Linked DNA regions of Struthio camelus. The protein of the gene in region 1 interacts with the protein of each later gene in a pairwise test. Links are inferred from orthologs where the notes say so. Each region holds a gene or a part of one and is shown on either strand. Other genes may lie near its edges.

What was found.
Region 2: the proteins of TRIM37 (region 1) and COPB1 interact in binary tests that used the Homo sapiens proteins (3 or more experiments, as listed by UniProt). The two-hybrid records come from large-scale screens. The link is inferred for Struthio camelus from reciprocal best matches to the Homo sapiens genes TRIM37 and COPB1.

What each region holds. Positions count from the first base shown.
Region 1 is NC_090957.1:18,435,086-18,442,960, reverse strand, and holds the start of TRIM37 (E3 ubiquitin-protein ligase TRIM37), read left to right. Parts: upstream 1-4,830; 5' UTR 4,831-5,043; coding exon 5,044-5,064; intron 5,065-6,558; coding exon 6,559-6,660; intron 6,661-7,875. Other genes in the region: SKA2 (spindle and kinetochore-associated protein 2), read left to right, coding at 110-196, 1,628-1,667, 2,459-2,591, 3,337-3,463. UniProt on the Homo sapiens protein: E3 ubiquitin-protein ligase required to prevent centriole reduplication. Probably acts by ubiquitinating positive regulators of centriole reduplication.
Region 2 is NC_090946.1:22,178,813-22,186,318, forward strand, and holds the start of COPB1 (coatomer subunit beta), read left to right. Parts: upstream 1-4,423; 5' UTR 4,424-4,687; intron 4,688-4,796; exon of another isoform or gene 4,797-5,069; intron 5,070-7,492; exon of another isoform or gene 7,493-7,506. Other genes in the region: PSMA1 (proteasome subunit alpha type-1), read left to right, coding at 357-486, 1,172-1,251, 2,235-2,339, 2,862-2,918. UniProt on the Homo sapiens protein: The coatomer is a cytosolic protein complex that binds to dilysine motifs and reversibly associates with Golgi non-clathrin-coated vesicles, which further mediate biosynthetic protein transport from the ER, via the Golgi up to the trans Golgi network.

The DNA.
Region 1 (7,875 bases):
TACTGTTAGCTTCCATGAGAAAAGGATTAGACAAACATTGAGTTCTTCTGTAAATACGATCATCCTAGGAACTGAAAGTAACAGAATTTTCTTGTATCTTTCTCTCTAGCGCTTGCCTCTGTCAGAAGAAGAACAGGCTGCAGCACAACAATTAACCTGCCAAACTGTTAAAGAAATGGAATCGCTAGCGGAAGAGGTAATTAGGCGACAGTGTCTGTATTTCAGAAACTATTAATCCTGAGTAGTTCAACTGAAGTTGGGAGGGCTGTTATGACTTAAATTCCATTCCTTTCAGAGGTATTCTAAGGAATGGCGCTACAATTTTTGGCAAACCCTTTTTGTTTTGATTGTATGTTGATTAGGTTGCTGCTTTGTTCCAATTAAATTGTCCATGGTGGAAGAACTTGTTTTGACAGAAGACTTTTTTTTCTTATTTTTTATTGGGAAATGTTTGTGTTTATTCGCTCTTCTTGTTAGTCTGTTAACACATTATATAAGAAGCCTTTGGGTGGGAGTGAAGAGTGTAATTGCTTCAAGCTCATATATATCAAAATGGAGAGAAATTTAATTTCCTGTAAAATATTAAATACAGGTTGGAGTATGAGTAAGAGTAATTGAAGCATATTGCACATAATATATAACACAATAGAATGTAGATATAAATGATACTTGTTAAAAAGTCGGATATTTTCTCAAAGCTCCTGAAAGCACAACATTCTAATAGTGATAATCATCTGCAAAGACTTGGTATGGGTCTTACATTAAAAACAAAATATTAAAGAAAGTTAGCAGACTGTAATTATCTTACTGACCTTATCTTTTTCTACTTCTTCTCACTGCCTACTCCTTTTCTATCAAAGGATGTCTCTCTTTCTGTCCCTTTATTGCCACGGTTGGTTTGCATGAAAGACTTCCAGTATGATACTGGCTTTCTGCTTCATTCACTCTTCCTTTGCAAATATCTTCTCCTACCTTGATTAAATCCTCTCAATTTTTGTCTTTCCATTATTTAATTCTGAAGCCCTTAAGATACAGCTGGCATAAAAACAGACCTCGTGCAAAATGTAGCTATATCCTGCTCACATTAAAGGTTGTTTAATTGGTATGAGTCCCTATGTTGTTATTACGTGTGTTTTGAAGATATTCTAAAAGTCTCTGAAAGACAGAAAGAAGGGAAAGATACCACAAAGGCCCTGTTTTGGTTTTTTGTTTTGTTTTTTTTGTTATTGTTGTTAATGCTGAATTTCTGGCAGAGAAGAGTTAGATATAGCTACCTTTAGCTTGTCAAAACTGTCAACTCTGAGGGTTGCTGGAGAACAGGGAAGCCGTCTTTTTCCTTTGCTGCATGTGCAGTGCTTTCAGCTAGATCCATACTGGAATGCAGAGGAGAAAGCTGAAGAGGCTTATCTGACTTGCATATGAATCTTTTTGTTTGCATTTTAAACCTATTCTTATTTGAAATTGGAATTTATTTAACGCATAAGATTTTGCTGTTAACTTCAGTAGCTGTGAGATCCTTGGTATCCAGTGGTAAAATGTAGTTACTAATACAGAAATGCTCGTTGTAAAAACTAATTTCTAAATAAAATTTCAACAAATCCTGAAATTATCTCTCATTTATTTTTAGCCATTTAGTTCGGAATCTACAGTCCCTGACTCAACTGAAGGTGAGTGCTGGGGAAAAAAATCTTTCTACTGCTCCCTTTTCTTTTTGAGCATGAAGACTGATCCCCCGCCTCCTCCCACCCCAGGCCCTGTAAATAAGTTTTGCAAATAATATCAATCTTTCCTAAGGCTTCCATCTTCAGTGTTGAACTTCATATGTTTAAGTATCCCAGAACTATTAGAGTTACTATCTAGAATTCAGGGATTAATGAATTAAGCTGTTTTACTCTCTGAAAAAGACAGAGACTGTAAAAAAACCTTCAGTAACAGCACAGTAAATTCACTGTTTTCATTCTCTTAAGCTCTAGTAACTACTGCTTTTACATGAAGTGAAGAATTTATACTTTACTATAAGAAACTGAGCGCTTAGTTATATTCCACATGTAGCTCCCATGTCTCTGGGAGCTGCTCTTGCTGATGAGGGGATTTAAGTGGATCCTGTTGTGCCTCTAGTCTGGAAGAAAGAAAATGGTGTACTAGTTGTGCCATAGAAATAACTCTTGCTTAATCTGTTCATCCTTATTTATAAAAAGGAGTTTTCTTAGTGATTGTTTTTAACTAGTCTCTGACAGACCAAATTTATTAATCCATATCAAATTTCAAATTAAATTATTTTTCACTAGGTCGGCAGAAACAATGGTAGTTTGGAGGGAGTGTCTTCCCTCTCTCCTTCCTCCTGCAGTAAAATCTTTTTCAGAATCATTTAGGAGTTTTCTTACAAAGGTATGAAAGTACTATCTATCTGTGGCCTAATTTCTGAAGAAATAAATGCCTTCTATTTTCAATTTTCTAGAATCACAATTCAAACCATTGACTGAAGAAACGCTTATGACTGTACCAAGGAGTATCAGAAGTACTGTTAAGCTGGCAGACTTGAACAATTTTTACAGGGAGTTATTTAACCACTTTGTTATCAATAAGAACAGGTAAGACTTGAAGGAATCCATTAATAAGACTCTTATAATCTGTAAAGAAATTCCAGCCTTTTTAAACTGAATAAAAACAGTTGTCAACTCTGAAAGTGGTTAACTATTTGCTGCTCTACTATAACTTCAAAATTTGATTTCCCTCACTTATGCCTTTACTGGTTGGGTATATAGCCCAAAGTGATATGCCCTCCTAGGAAACTCCCCAAATTTATTTATATAAAAATGGTTTATATCGTTTGATAATTTTCAAAACTGCATGTCCAGTTCTTCAGAAACAGATTTTTTTTTTTTTTTAACCTTGGAGTCACTGAACAGATGTCCAAAACTGGGTCTACTCAGAAAAGTTTTGCTGACACAGTCATACTGGAAAACCTTTCTAGCTTTCATAACCTGGAAAAGCAAAACCCTAACCCAAATTCCTCACCTCAGTCCTGACCCCAGACCCTGACTCTAGCCCTTGACTCTGAGCCCTGACCTCTGTCTGTGATTTCTGCTGCAGATTTCTCACAGGCTGATGGTAAAGAATGAAGAAGCTTTTAACCTAACAATTCTGTCTTTGACACTGAGCTTGGACTGTTCTTTGAAGCAGCACAGTGAAATGGATGGCAATGTGCATAAGTGTGAGAATTGCAGAGCCCTTGCAAAAATCAGTCTTCTAAACAGTATGGGCTTTTTAGTCACTCTCTGGCAGGCCTGATGTTTGATACCCTGCTTTGCTGAATAGTTTGCTCTTGTCTTGCAGAGCAGCACTCAGCGTTTCACAGATGAACAAGATGAATATGAAAGCCACTGACTCAAGAGTACGCATCTTGAAGGAACTCTCTGTTGTGGAACTTGACAAACATGGAAATGTTAAATTAGTGGCGTAAATGAAAGCTCAGTCCATTCTTATTTGACACACAAGCATGTTGGTTATAGCTCCTGGATTATTAACAAGGAAGTATTTCTCTGATGTCTGGGAGTTACCAGTACACTGTTAGAAAGCTGTTAATTTTTCTGTATACAAATTCTATTTATAAAACTTAAAATTGCAGAGTTAAACATTGAGGTTGGAAATTTATCTTGGACATTTATAGGTCTATCGTAGATGCATTTTTGAAGAGTATTGTTAACCGTGTGACTTTTCCATATTCCTGTTTACATTCCTGAATGGGTTTTTACAATGAATAACCCAAACCATTTAATTGTACTTACATTCCTGAATAAATGATTAAAGCTAAGGAGGCCATAGATTTAATTATATATGTTTTTAAATGTCCGCTGGCCCCTGACCTTTTCGTTTTGCCTTGATGTGCGCTGTCTTTGTTACAGTCCAATGAAATTACAGGATCACAGAACAGCCGAGGTCGGAAGGGCTCTCTGGAGATCATCTAATCCAACCCCCTGCTCTGCCCGGGGTCTCTGCAGGTTGCTTTGGGTCACGTCCGGTTAGCTTTTGGGCATCTCCAAGGCTGGGGACTTCACACCCTCTCTGGGCAACCTGTTCCACTGTTTCACCACTCTCGCAGTTTAAAAAAAAAAAAAAAAAAAAGAAAAGTTTTCTAGTGTTGAAATAGAATTTCCCGTCCTTCAATTTGTGCCCACTGAGAAAGTAACCGACTTGCCCGTGTGACTCTTATAATTTGTGTTTACTACTGCACTACGGAAAGAGACAATCCCAAAATCAAAGCCAACACTTCAAGGAAAATCCTTTCCCTGCAGAGGATGCAGTGATCAGTGCAGCCCTCCGAATTCACATGAGCCACCTGTTTTTAAGCACTGAACTCTTCTATATACTTTGATATATTATGCGAGTAACATTTTTGTCTTCACTGTCAAATAGACTGTCTTCTGAGTGAAAAATCTGTATAAACATTTAATGTACTTCTGTCTGTTTTCAATAAATGTCATGCGTACACAGATAATTGTTACAAAAGGATCGCAAAGTTTGAGCTTGGATAAAAACAGGCGTTGAGGAGCGTGTTTCTCCTGCAACAACTGCAGGGAGTTTTGTTCAAAGGGCTCTAAGCCTTAGCGATGACAGCAGCTGCCCGCGGGGAAGAGGGCCCTGAGCGCTGCGCCTCTCTGGTAGGTGAAGGGGCTCGTCTTTGATTTCGTTAATACGTAGAGCAGGCCTCAGTCCGGTCAGTTGTGAGCGTTTGTGTCTGACAGGAGGCCGGCGCCGTTGGGGGGGAGGGGCAGCGCCGCCCCTCAACGGCCGCGGGCGGCGAGGCGGGGCCCCGCCTCCTGCGGGCGCGGCGCGTGCGCGTTGCGGCGGGGCAGGGGCGAGCGGGCCCGCTCCCGGCGCCGCAGGGCGGAGCAGTCCGCGCGCCGCGGCGAACATGGCCGGCACCTAGAGGGTGCGCGGCGCTGTGGCACAACCCCCTCCCTCCCTCCCTCCCTCCCATCCCGGGCACTGCGGCGGGGAGAGGGGCCGGGGAGCAGCTCCGCCGCCGGCCGAGCCGCGGCCATGGACGAGCAGAGCGTGGAGGTGAGCCGCGGGGCGGCGGTTGCCGGTGGCGCTGCGCCGGGGGGGGGGGGGGGGGGGGGCGGGAAGGGCGGCGGAGGGCGCTGCCCGCCCAGGTGCGCCTCTGCGGGGCAGCGGGCTGCCGTTCCCCCGCCGGGGGCCTGGCGGGGGGGGAGGGGGTTGGCGATGGCTTCCGCTCCCTCCCGTGAGGGGAGAGCGGCTCCTCTGCGGGCCTTTCCCGCCTGCGACGGCGGTGGGGAGGAAGGCTGCGAGGCGGTAGCGCTTCCAGGCGGCGCGCGGTCGTTTTACACGGCCCGGGTTAGCGAAGGTGTCCGGGGAGCGTGGCAGGTGCCTGTTCCTGAGGTGGAGGGAGACCCTGACACCGGCAGAACCGGCTCTGGCACGCGTGAGGGCAGAGCGCCCTGCGAGAGGAGTAACCTGAACGCCTTGTCTACCTTGCTGTGCTGAGAGCCGAGCCGACGAAGAGTTTAAAAGATGTAACGCGTAGCTTCCTGTAAATGCATCTGTTTGGTTTTACAGCGATTAAAAAGGACATCAGGGTACAGGAGATGCTGTGATATCTGTAAATTGACGATACGGCTCGCTTTGTGCCGATGATAGTTTTAACTCTGGAGGGAAAAATAGCCCATTTGAAAAAATCTTTCAAAGTTCTTTAGGTAAGGCCAGAAGGGATCTAACTCCTATATAATACAGGCTGCAAGACTTTCCAAACCTTACTCTTGTTTCTTAGAATGTGCCTTCTGGCAAGTCATGCAGTCTATATTTGGAAAATCCTTATTGGTGAAAAATCCATCAGTGTGACAAGCAAATATGGTTTGATATTTTGCAATACTTTCCTAATTTTGGGAATGGAGAGAGATGAAGTGGTTATATTCAAGAACAAATTACTTCTCTGTTGGAATGGGTATAGTGAAACAGTATGTTAAACCAGATTTTATTGCCCAAGATTAATTTAGTGGGGGGGGGGGGGGCAGAGAAATTGTGGATCTAATGGTAATGGTAGACCTTAAATTATTTTAAGTCTTACAGAAGTCAAGAAAATAACCTGTCCAATTCAACCCTTCTAGTTAACATTCTGTATGATATATACAGGTACTTAATGTGCTTTTGAATTGGTCATAGCGTAGCCAGTACATTGAAATTCATAGGCTGAGAATCTGCATATACAGCACAGTTGTTTCTGGCAACTGTCAACCATGGGAATACAAATAGGAATAATGGCTCTTGGCTACAGAAATGCCTAGTTGGTAAAAGATAAATCCAACAAGGAAATTCTTCCTGGAAGAAGCATAGCGTTTTAAAATGGACACTGAGTGCTGGTGGGATGTAAAAGGAAATGAGGAAGAGAGCCATGATGTTTGAGCCGGTACCCTACTCCAAGATGCAGTATGCATAGCTGTTTGGAATAGGACTCTATTTATTAAACCTGGCATTCTGCCTAGAAAATAAATGTTTGACGTTTGTGGCATAACAATAGCATTAATCTAACCTTTGCAGAGCATTGCTGAAGTATTCCGATGTTTTATTTGTATGGAGAAATTGCGTGATGCACGTCTGTGTCCCCATTGCTCCAAGCTATGTTGTTTCAGTTGTATTCGGGTGAGTTTACTTAACATAGTTTACTCTTGCACATGTATACACTTAAAAACTCAGAGCTACTGGTCTTAAGAACGCGTTCTTGCTCTTTTCCTGTCTCCTTTCCTGGGGTTCTGAGGATTCCTTTTTCCTCCTCTGTGCTCTTTATTTTCCCTTTCAAAAGCTTTTATGACACCCTGAGAGACTAGGCATGCTGTGCATTATATAAAGTAGTGCTAATTATAGTGATTATCTGTAAGAATTGCTTTTAAAGAACAGGCATATGATGGCCTCTTCTTTAACACCTCTTCAGAGTCAGTGATGCCTATATGGACAGAGGAAGAAGTTGGAACAGAAAGCAAATACTGATCTTTCAGATGTCTGTATGGAACACTGAAAGGTCATAACATTTCCTGTCATCTTGGAGGTGTTTTAATCCTGTTAAATACATTTTGAAAATAGTTACCAACCTGGTATGACATGATCACACACTTGTTAAAGCCTTCTTGAGGGAGTCTGGTATAGTAGGCTGAAGCAGCATCCAGAGTATTTTAATTCACTTACTAGGGTGATAGTTACCAATATATAATACTTAAGTTCCAAGTCCAGACTTTGCTATGTGTAGTGGATTAAATAAGGGTTCAGCTGAGGTTTTCAGACCTGGGATAGTGTTTCCAGAGCTCAAAGTAAACAATTATCACCTTCTTTGAAAGCTCTGCAAAGAACTACATGGGAGGTATTCATGCTACATAAAAAGAATGTTAGATGACCTATTGTTGGTGTGTGGCAAGAGATAGTTTCAACAGATATTTTCATGGAGAACCTTTAAGCGTAGTAGTGAGCTGACAAAAGATAAGCCTCTCAATTGCTGAACTTTTTAAAATGTGTAAGTTATACTGGACTGCTGAAGTTCCTTCCTGAGCTACTTATCTTTGAATGAAACTTTCTGGAAGAGAAACATTCGAACAGTCTATATAGATTTGATAATTGGACTGCAGATTTATTACTTGCGTTGTAAGTAGCCCAAGAAGAAAGAAATAAGTTACCCTGAAGACGAACATCTAGAGTAGGAAAAATGCATCTGCTATATCTTATGCTTTCTTTTGTTGAAACGTGCTCTTTAGTCTATAACTGTGGGAATCTGCAGTAGGTTTTCTCATGGAATATTAGGTACCTGAAGATTCTCTTTTTAAGTTTAACTAAAGTGTCTTTGACAACAAAGAAAAGAGCGATTGATTT
Region 2 (7,506 bases), on another chromosome or scaffold:
GAACGTGTGTGAAATATTTAACTGCAAGCCATGAGGTGGGAAGCATATGTATGCATGGTACAGCTTATGGAACAGAGAAAGAAAGATTTTTGGTGCCTGCTATCCTACCTGCATAAAAATTATGTTTCAAATAACAAAGTATGAAGGAGGATTGTTGTTTGTTTGTTTATTTATTTATTTATTTAGAATAAGACTTGAAGCAATTGGTAAGAGCAATGGTATGATAAACAATATAAAATATATCTGTGCTTAGACATAAGCTATGTGATGTATCATGAAGCAAATCTTTGTTTTAGAAAAAAAAACATGTATTGTTTTTGTTTGTTTACTTGTTTGTTTGTTTTCCCTTTTGGTAGGATATGGGTCCTCACATCTTCCAGACCTGTCCTTCTGCAAACTATTTTGACTGTAAAGCAATGTCCATTGGTGCTCGTTCACAGTCAGCTCGAACTTACTTGGAGAGGCACATGACTGAGTTTACTGACTGTGAGTAATGAAACTCTGTCTATCTGATGGTCTTCATCAGTTGCACAGTTTTTTTTCGTGCTATTGCTCCATCCTTTTGTGTTTAGTAAAATGGGAAGATAAACTTTGGGAGCCAAGTTTAGTGTAAGTGTAAATCTGCATGAAGACAATAATTGTAAAGAATACATTACAAATCTTCATTTCTAACATCTGGATTTTTGTTAGATCTAATGAAAAAGAAGTTTCTGTTCAGAGGCTGAGAAAAAAGTACAAAGTCTCCATCCTGTGTAACTCAGGGAAAGAGCAATTCTTTGTATTACAGAGAAGGCATAATATTTCAGGATGAGTCTCTAGGTTGTGGATTTAAAATCGCAAATTTGTTTTTATATGAAAGTTATTTGGAGGCTACTGTGTGTCTGGTTGGGGAAAAAATAGCTTGAGTATCACTGCACTGAAGACAATGCAGGTGCCAAAAATGGATGCATTTGGCCTGAAGTGTAAGGAAAGGCTCACTTCTTGAAGTATACTTTGATAACCAACTCTATATTCAGTACCGGAAATACATAAGGAGCGCAGTTCTGGAAGTCAAAATAGCCAGGTTGATTTTTCTAGTTGTCAACTGGGAATAGGAGGAAGGGCAAAAGAGTCTCAAGAGACTCAACTGTATTATTTCGTAAATGTCTTTCTAATTGCGTTTAATTTGTAGGTAATCTAAATGAGCTAGTTAAGCATGGACTGCGTGCCCTGAGAGAGACTCTTCCTGCTGAACAAGATCTGACCACCAAGGTAAATACTAGGATGTTTTTGTTTTGTTTTTGTTTGTTTTTGTGTGTTTAAGAAGAAATTTTACTGCCATTGTTATTAGAAATTGCTATGACAAAATTAATGTAAAGTATGACTGGCACTGAAATTTGGAAGCCAAATAGTGGTGGAGAGCGTCATCTCCATTTCATATGTGACAACTTTACCTACAGCTTCATCTGTAATTTTTTTTTGTTTGTTTGCTTACCATAATAAAATGATACTTTTGTCTAAGTAAGGCATCATTTTCCTGGCTGCTTGCGTAAAATATTCTATTTTAAGGTTTGATCAGTGTTTAAGATGCATTGAACACAACTGGATCATCACTTTGCTTTGTAAGCCCAATCAGCAATTGGAAAGGACTGGAAAGGAAGGGGGGAGTTGCCCCTTCAGTCAGAGCACAGCTATGCAAACAGTTGATTGAGCATCCAATACCAAAAAGATGCAAAGCCTCTGCCAGGAAATATGAACTGACCAGCTCTTGAACAAGAAACTTCTAAGCAGATCTCTTACCAAAAGTTAGTGTTATGTTTGTGGCTGATCTGCCCTTATCTGTGTTTAAGATTTTTACTCTTAGCCCATCTTGTTTTGTTAGAACTTTTACGATAAGGAAAAGGGAGGGGGGAAAAAAAAGATGAGAATCAGTGATTTTGAAAAATCAGGTATTTGTTATTTAAAATAAAAAATAGAAATTGAAATCATTGAATAGTGATTTTACTGGTAAGATCTCAAAGCATGATAGCTTTTGTAGGGAATAAATCTCCCTCTCTGCCTCCCTTTCCTTTTCTAGTACAACCTACCAAAAAGGGAATCTCGGAATTCCTCTCTTCCTTAAGTAGACACAATAGCAAAGTGAATCCCTTTATCACAGGAGGAAACTTAATGGCTTTACAGTTTTCACTTGTGAAACAGATTCAAGTTATTTGCAGAAAAACGTGTCTTACTTCTTTCAAAATTTTCCTTAACAGAATGTTTCCATTGGAATTGTGGGCAAAGACATGGAGTTTACCATCTATGATGATGATGACGTAGCACCATTCCTAGAAGGTCTTGAGGAGAGACCACAGAGAAAGGTTTGTGTTTTATATACAAATAAAGAGGCTTTGGTGAAAGGCAACATTTTGTGATGTATGACCTATTATGTTTAGGACATTTAGCTTTCTTAGTGTAGTAGGGTTTTAGGTATGCAGTTTTAAAATTTGACATTGCTACATGAAAACAGGAGGCAACATATCATCTTTGTCTAAAGACTGAAGCTGGAGGCTAAGCTGCTTATTAAATCAGTTTACGATAAATTGGCAGAAGGCTTTTCCAATGTCTTCATCTTCTTTCCTTATTTAAGATTACTTTTTTTCACTTTCTTGTAGCAGAAGTGGCTACATATGTTCCTGGTGTCTGTCCCAAGATGCCTCCTCAAGTCTTCTAATTACCAGCTCTATCCTTCTCCATGCTTGATTTATATAATACTGCTTGTAAGCTATTTGTTTATGTGAGCTACTTTTACCACTTGTGATACTCAATCTAGTGTAAAGCGGATATGCTAGGTACTGTTTTCTTCCCTTCTATAATATGTTTTTTTTTTTCTTCTCTTTAAGCCTGCTCCGCCCGCTGATGAACCTGCGGAAAAGGCAGAGGAGCCCATGGAGCACTAGTTGATGGATGAATTCTGCTGTGTGTTTACCTATGTATAATTATACAGGAACATATATCCATCTGCTGGTAACCTTTCTCCTGACCTATATGCGTCTTCTACTGACACATTCTGAGGATTACGCTATAAAAACAAACAAACAAACTAGCCCATCTATCCTTAAATGGTAGGATAGTTGGACATATTTTCTTTGACAAGAAAGGTGTTACCATTTTCTAAATAGTGCACAATACTGTTTTTTTAATGAAAAGCATACTGTCTTTAACTTGTAAGGACAAGTGGAAATAAATCTTTCTTGGAATGTACTGTTCATTTTTTTTTAAATCTGAAGAAATAGCTACTCAAATACTACTTTCATACAATCAATGTGCTATCAAGATGCAATCATGTACTATTTGTCACATTGAAACAGTAACTGATTTGTGAGCCCTCGGTTGCTTTATATAAATATAGTGCTCATGAAGTATTGCACTGACAGGACTTTGAATCCCTCTATTTACAAAGTAGTCCTAGAACATGTAGGATGCATCAAGCTTCCGCCTGTTTTATTGTGGTTGTCTCACTCGTGACTTGGACAGACATTTCTAATTATGAGTGTTTACTGGAATTATTGCAGACAGAATAAGCATGAAGCTGCCAGTAAGCTTTTTCAGTTGTGTTTTTTAATAAACCTCAGGTCTTTCAAAACTGAAATGAATGACTTCATTTCTTTAGGGCCATCAAACAGCCATCAGGTAGCCAAGGGCTTTTTTAGCTCACTAATGCATGCGCTACATGTAAGTAATGATGGAAACATATTAAATTGCCCTTTCAGGTCCCCTGACTTATCTAGTCTCTGTATTCCTTCTTGGTTTTGTCACTTTGGTTTGTGCTATAGAGTCTACCCAAGGACTCTGTTTAGTGACAGCTTGGATTTAAGTTCAATGTCACAAAATTTGATTGCATTTGCAATGCAATATGCACATATTGCATTTTCTGTACTCCATTGCTATTAGTGATCAGCTTCAATGAAGATTTTTCTTCCAAGTGTCATGCACGCACATCATGCGAACGTTAGACACTTTAATTGGGTTTTATTACACTAATAGCAGTTGAAGTGAGAAGAGTAATTTCCCATTTATAGCAGTGGCAGCAGTCTTACTGAAAAGAGATTTCTTTAGCGATGTCTCCGAGGGAAGCCCGTGTTTCAGGTAGAGATGCAAAAGACATTTGAAGCTACAGTGTGATAAACAAAGTGAATTTGGCGTTGTTTTTCCATTGTAAACGTCCGATGCATGTATTGATGTAGAAGCGGGGCAGGCTGAAGGAGCCCGGCCTGGCCTTCGCCTGCCCCCGTGCTGCCTGCCACCGTGCCACCTGCCCAGGCTGTCGCAGTGGACGTGCTTAGCTCTGCAGCGTCACCCTATGGTGCATATGACGTCACGGCGCTGACGCAATGGCGAGCGGGCCCCGGCCGGCCGCGCGCTCCTCGCTCCCCTCCCCCCGGCCTTCCGCCCGCGCTTCCTAGCGAGCAAGCGGTGACGTCAGAGGGGCAAGGCCCTCCCCCGAGCCGTGACGCAGCACCGCCCCGCCCCGCCCCGTCCGCGTTCTTGTGCGAGGGGAGGTGTGTCCCGCTGGGGCCGCCGTACCATCGATGTGGCCCGAGGAGGGAGCGGCTCCACGTCAGCCATCGCCGGAGCGGGTCGCGCCACTGCCGGGAGCCGCTGCCGCCGCCGCCGCGGGCCGCGCCGGACCGCGCCGCCACGCCACGCCACGCACCACACCAGCTGGGTGCGCAGCCCGCGCGGGACAGCGCTTATGGCGCGCGGAGCCCGCCCCACGGCGCCTCGGGCCCGGCGGCCTCGCCGGGGCGGGGGTCGCGAGCCGCGGGGCGGCCGTTGGGGGGGGGGCGGGCGGCCGTTAGGGCCGTTGCGGGGCCGCGGCCCTTCCCCCTACTCCGCGGGACCCCTCGGCTCGCGGCCGGCCGGGGCCTTCCTGGGCAGGCGGCCTGAGGGCCGCAGCCGGCAGTGCCGTTAGCGGCGCTGAAAGGGAGCAGCGAGCCCCTGTCCCGCGGCTCGGGGCTTCCTCGGCCGTGTGTGTGCTGGGGGGGGTGCGGCCTCCCCGGGGAAGGGGGGGGTTGCTGGCGTGTCTCGGAAGTTTTTTCAGGGGAACGGTAAGGAAAAGAATAAAAACCAAACGTTTTAACTTTTAAGTCATAGTTAATTGTGCGAGGTGTTTCGGGCAAGAATTAGTCGCTTGGAAAAGCGAGGAGAGAATCCCTTGTGATGTGGCTATGATCCTCTAAACTTACTCCGGGTTACTTTAATACAAGTTTGTGTGTTGTGTTTCCCAGGTGATGCAGAGGTGAAATGATGCATTGTTAGGGTTTTGCTCGATAAGGTATCTCCTTAACGTCTTGTGTCAGTGTTCTGTAATTCAGAGGTCTTTAGCTCTGTTCTACAAAGCTGAGTGAAAATAGCTGAATACAAAAATTTAGATTCCGGAGATATTAATAGCCAAAGCTTAAAATAAAACTCTGTCGTTGTAATTCTGCCAGCACCGTAACTGATGTTTAACTTCTGTGGGGATTCATTTGCTTCTTAAGGACGTTGTAGCTGGAGAGTAGGCATGTTCTCTTTGCCTCCTTGTACGTGCGTTGGAAACTGTGTTACTCTGGATTTCCATATACAAGTGTGGGTGTTTTCCAGTTTTATTGCTGGGAAAGTAGAGTAGCATCTGCTTTCTCCTTATCTGGGGTATTCTTGGTAAGATCAAATTTTGAATGGGAAGATGCTGGTTCCAAGGCTTGATGCTTCTCTGTGAGGAAGAACTGGTTGTTCCTGCTGCCCAGTCTCCCAGCTCTGTATTTTAAGAATTTCCCTTCACTGCTGCTTTTTAGAGCCTAAGAAATGGGTCTGTGTTTTCCTCGTTTAGAGATCTGTTTTGCCGTGATTTTGAAGGAGTTTCTGCAGTTGGACTCTTTCTACCTGCTTTTTTCACAACTGTATTTTATTATCTGCTTGATGAAGTTGATAGAAATGAAGATGCTAGTTGCAGAGCTTTGGGGCAAGAGCTCTGGCCAAGGGAATGGGATAGAGGGAAAGAGCTGCTGGTGAAGCAAGAATTTTCTTGTTTCTGAAAAATGCTAGAATTGATTTATGTAGCCATTTGTAGAGGAAACAATGAGCTTGGAGGATCTAATCCTTAAAAGCATAACAGAAAGAGGCTTTTTAAAAAATGTTGTGTTAGAACCCTTTTTTTGTAGTAGCAGAATTTGTGATACTGTTCTAATTGTGTTCTTTTCTTGTAGCTTGGGAGCAGTGGTGCTTTTTACTCAAACCTGTGAGCCTCTGAGGCAAAAAAAAAAAGGCTACAGCCCAAGTTAGCACAGCTTCCCTACTCACTGTTTAGGCTGAGATTCTTCAGCTGACCATTTGATAAGAAAAGGGACTTTGGTTGCAGTATCAGCTTGTGGAGTTACTCAGCCATTCGTTCAGACACTGCAACTCCTTGGCCCACTTTGCCTCTTCTTTTTTTGGAGAAGCAGACTGGGAATGGATGTAGGGTTTTTGTTCTCCCTTGTTCTTACTATTTTAAAAGTAAAGTAAGGGTGGTGGATTTACAGGGTTCACATCTCAAGAGTTGCCTCAGCACAGGTGAAGAGGTGATGTGGGGTAGGAACTAATATCCCAGGCAGTAACTTCTTAAACTGGCATGTTATTGAAGGCATGGTGTCATGGAGCTATAACCCTGCTCAGGCTTATCCAACTTCAGAGGATTCTTTTAAGTGTTGAAAGCAAACTGCAGTGAAAGTGTAACCCTAAATTGGAGAGTTTAGTGTTTTGATCTGTCATGCAAATCTCAGCCTGTGACAGAGATAGTTTAGTTCACTTGGCCCTGTTATTAATTAATAGCAATAATTACATAAAGCAAGTGTGTATTTTTATACGTATACATAGTATCATACTTTAAAGTAAAAAGCCATTTTCCCTGTTTTAATGATTTGTTAGCCTCAGTCTAAACTTCAAGACAATTAACTATAGTAAATGTAGAATGTGCGTACAAAGTAGTTTCTTCTCTGAACTTCTGTAGAAAATACAGAATTCACCAAGTAATGAAAACTAATAATTTTTTTTACTCTGCATTTCCGTATGGTACTGTAGTGAGTAGTAAGTGAGCAAGCTCAAACTGGAGTGTTTTCCATTATTTAGGAAATGGAATTAAAAAAAAAAAAGTAATCCCAAAATTCTATTGTAAAAGGAAGTGACAAGCAAAGAAAATGAAGATTTAAGTTAATGGTTCATTTTGTTATCTGAACTGTCCGCCACACAGCACCTTTAGTGGACCTGTAATCCTCTAGTACTTCTTCTTCATGCAAATACTTTCCTCCTATTGGTGACTAGAGGATCAGTTGCGCTGAGTTGAGCTGTTCTAATGATTTTTAGCAGATAACACGGTGGTCCTACTTTCCTCTCCGTCATGTCCTCCCTTCTCCCGTCCTTGGTTTCTGCTCTGTTGGATTTCACGCTCATCTTCAAAGCTTCCTTCATGGGCTGATTCAACTTGTTATATAAGAAGGAAACTCTTCCCTTTTTTGGTTGTGGTGTTCT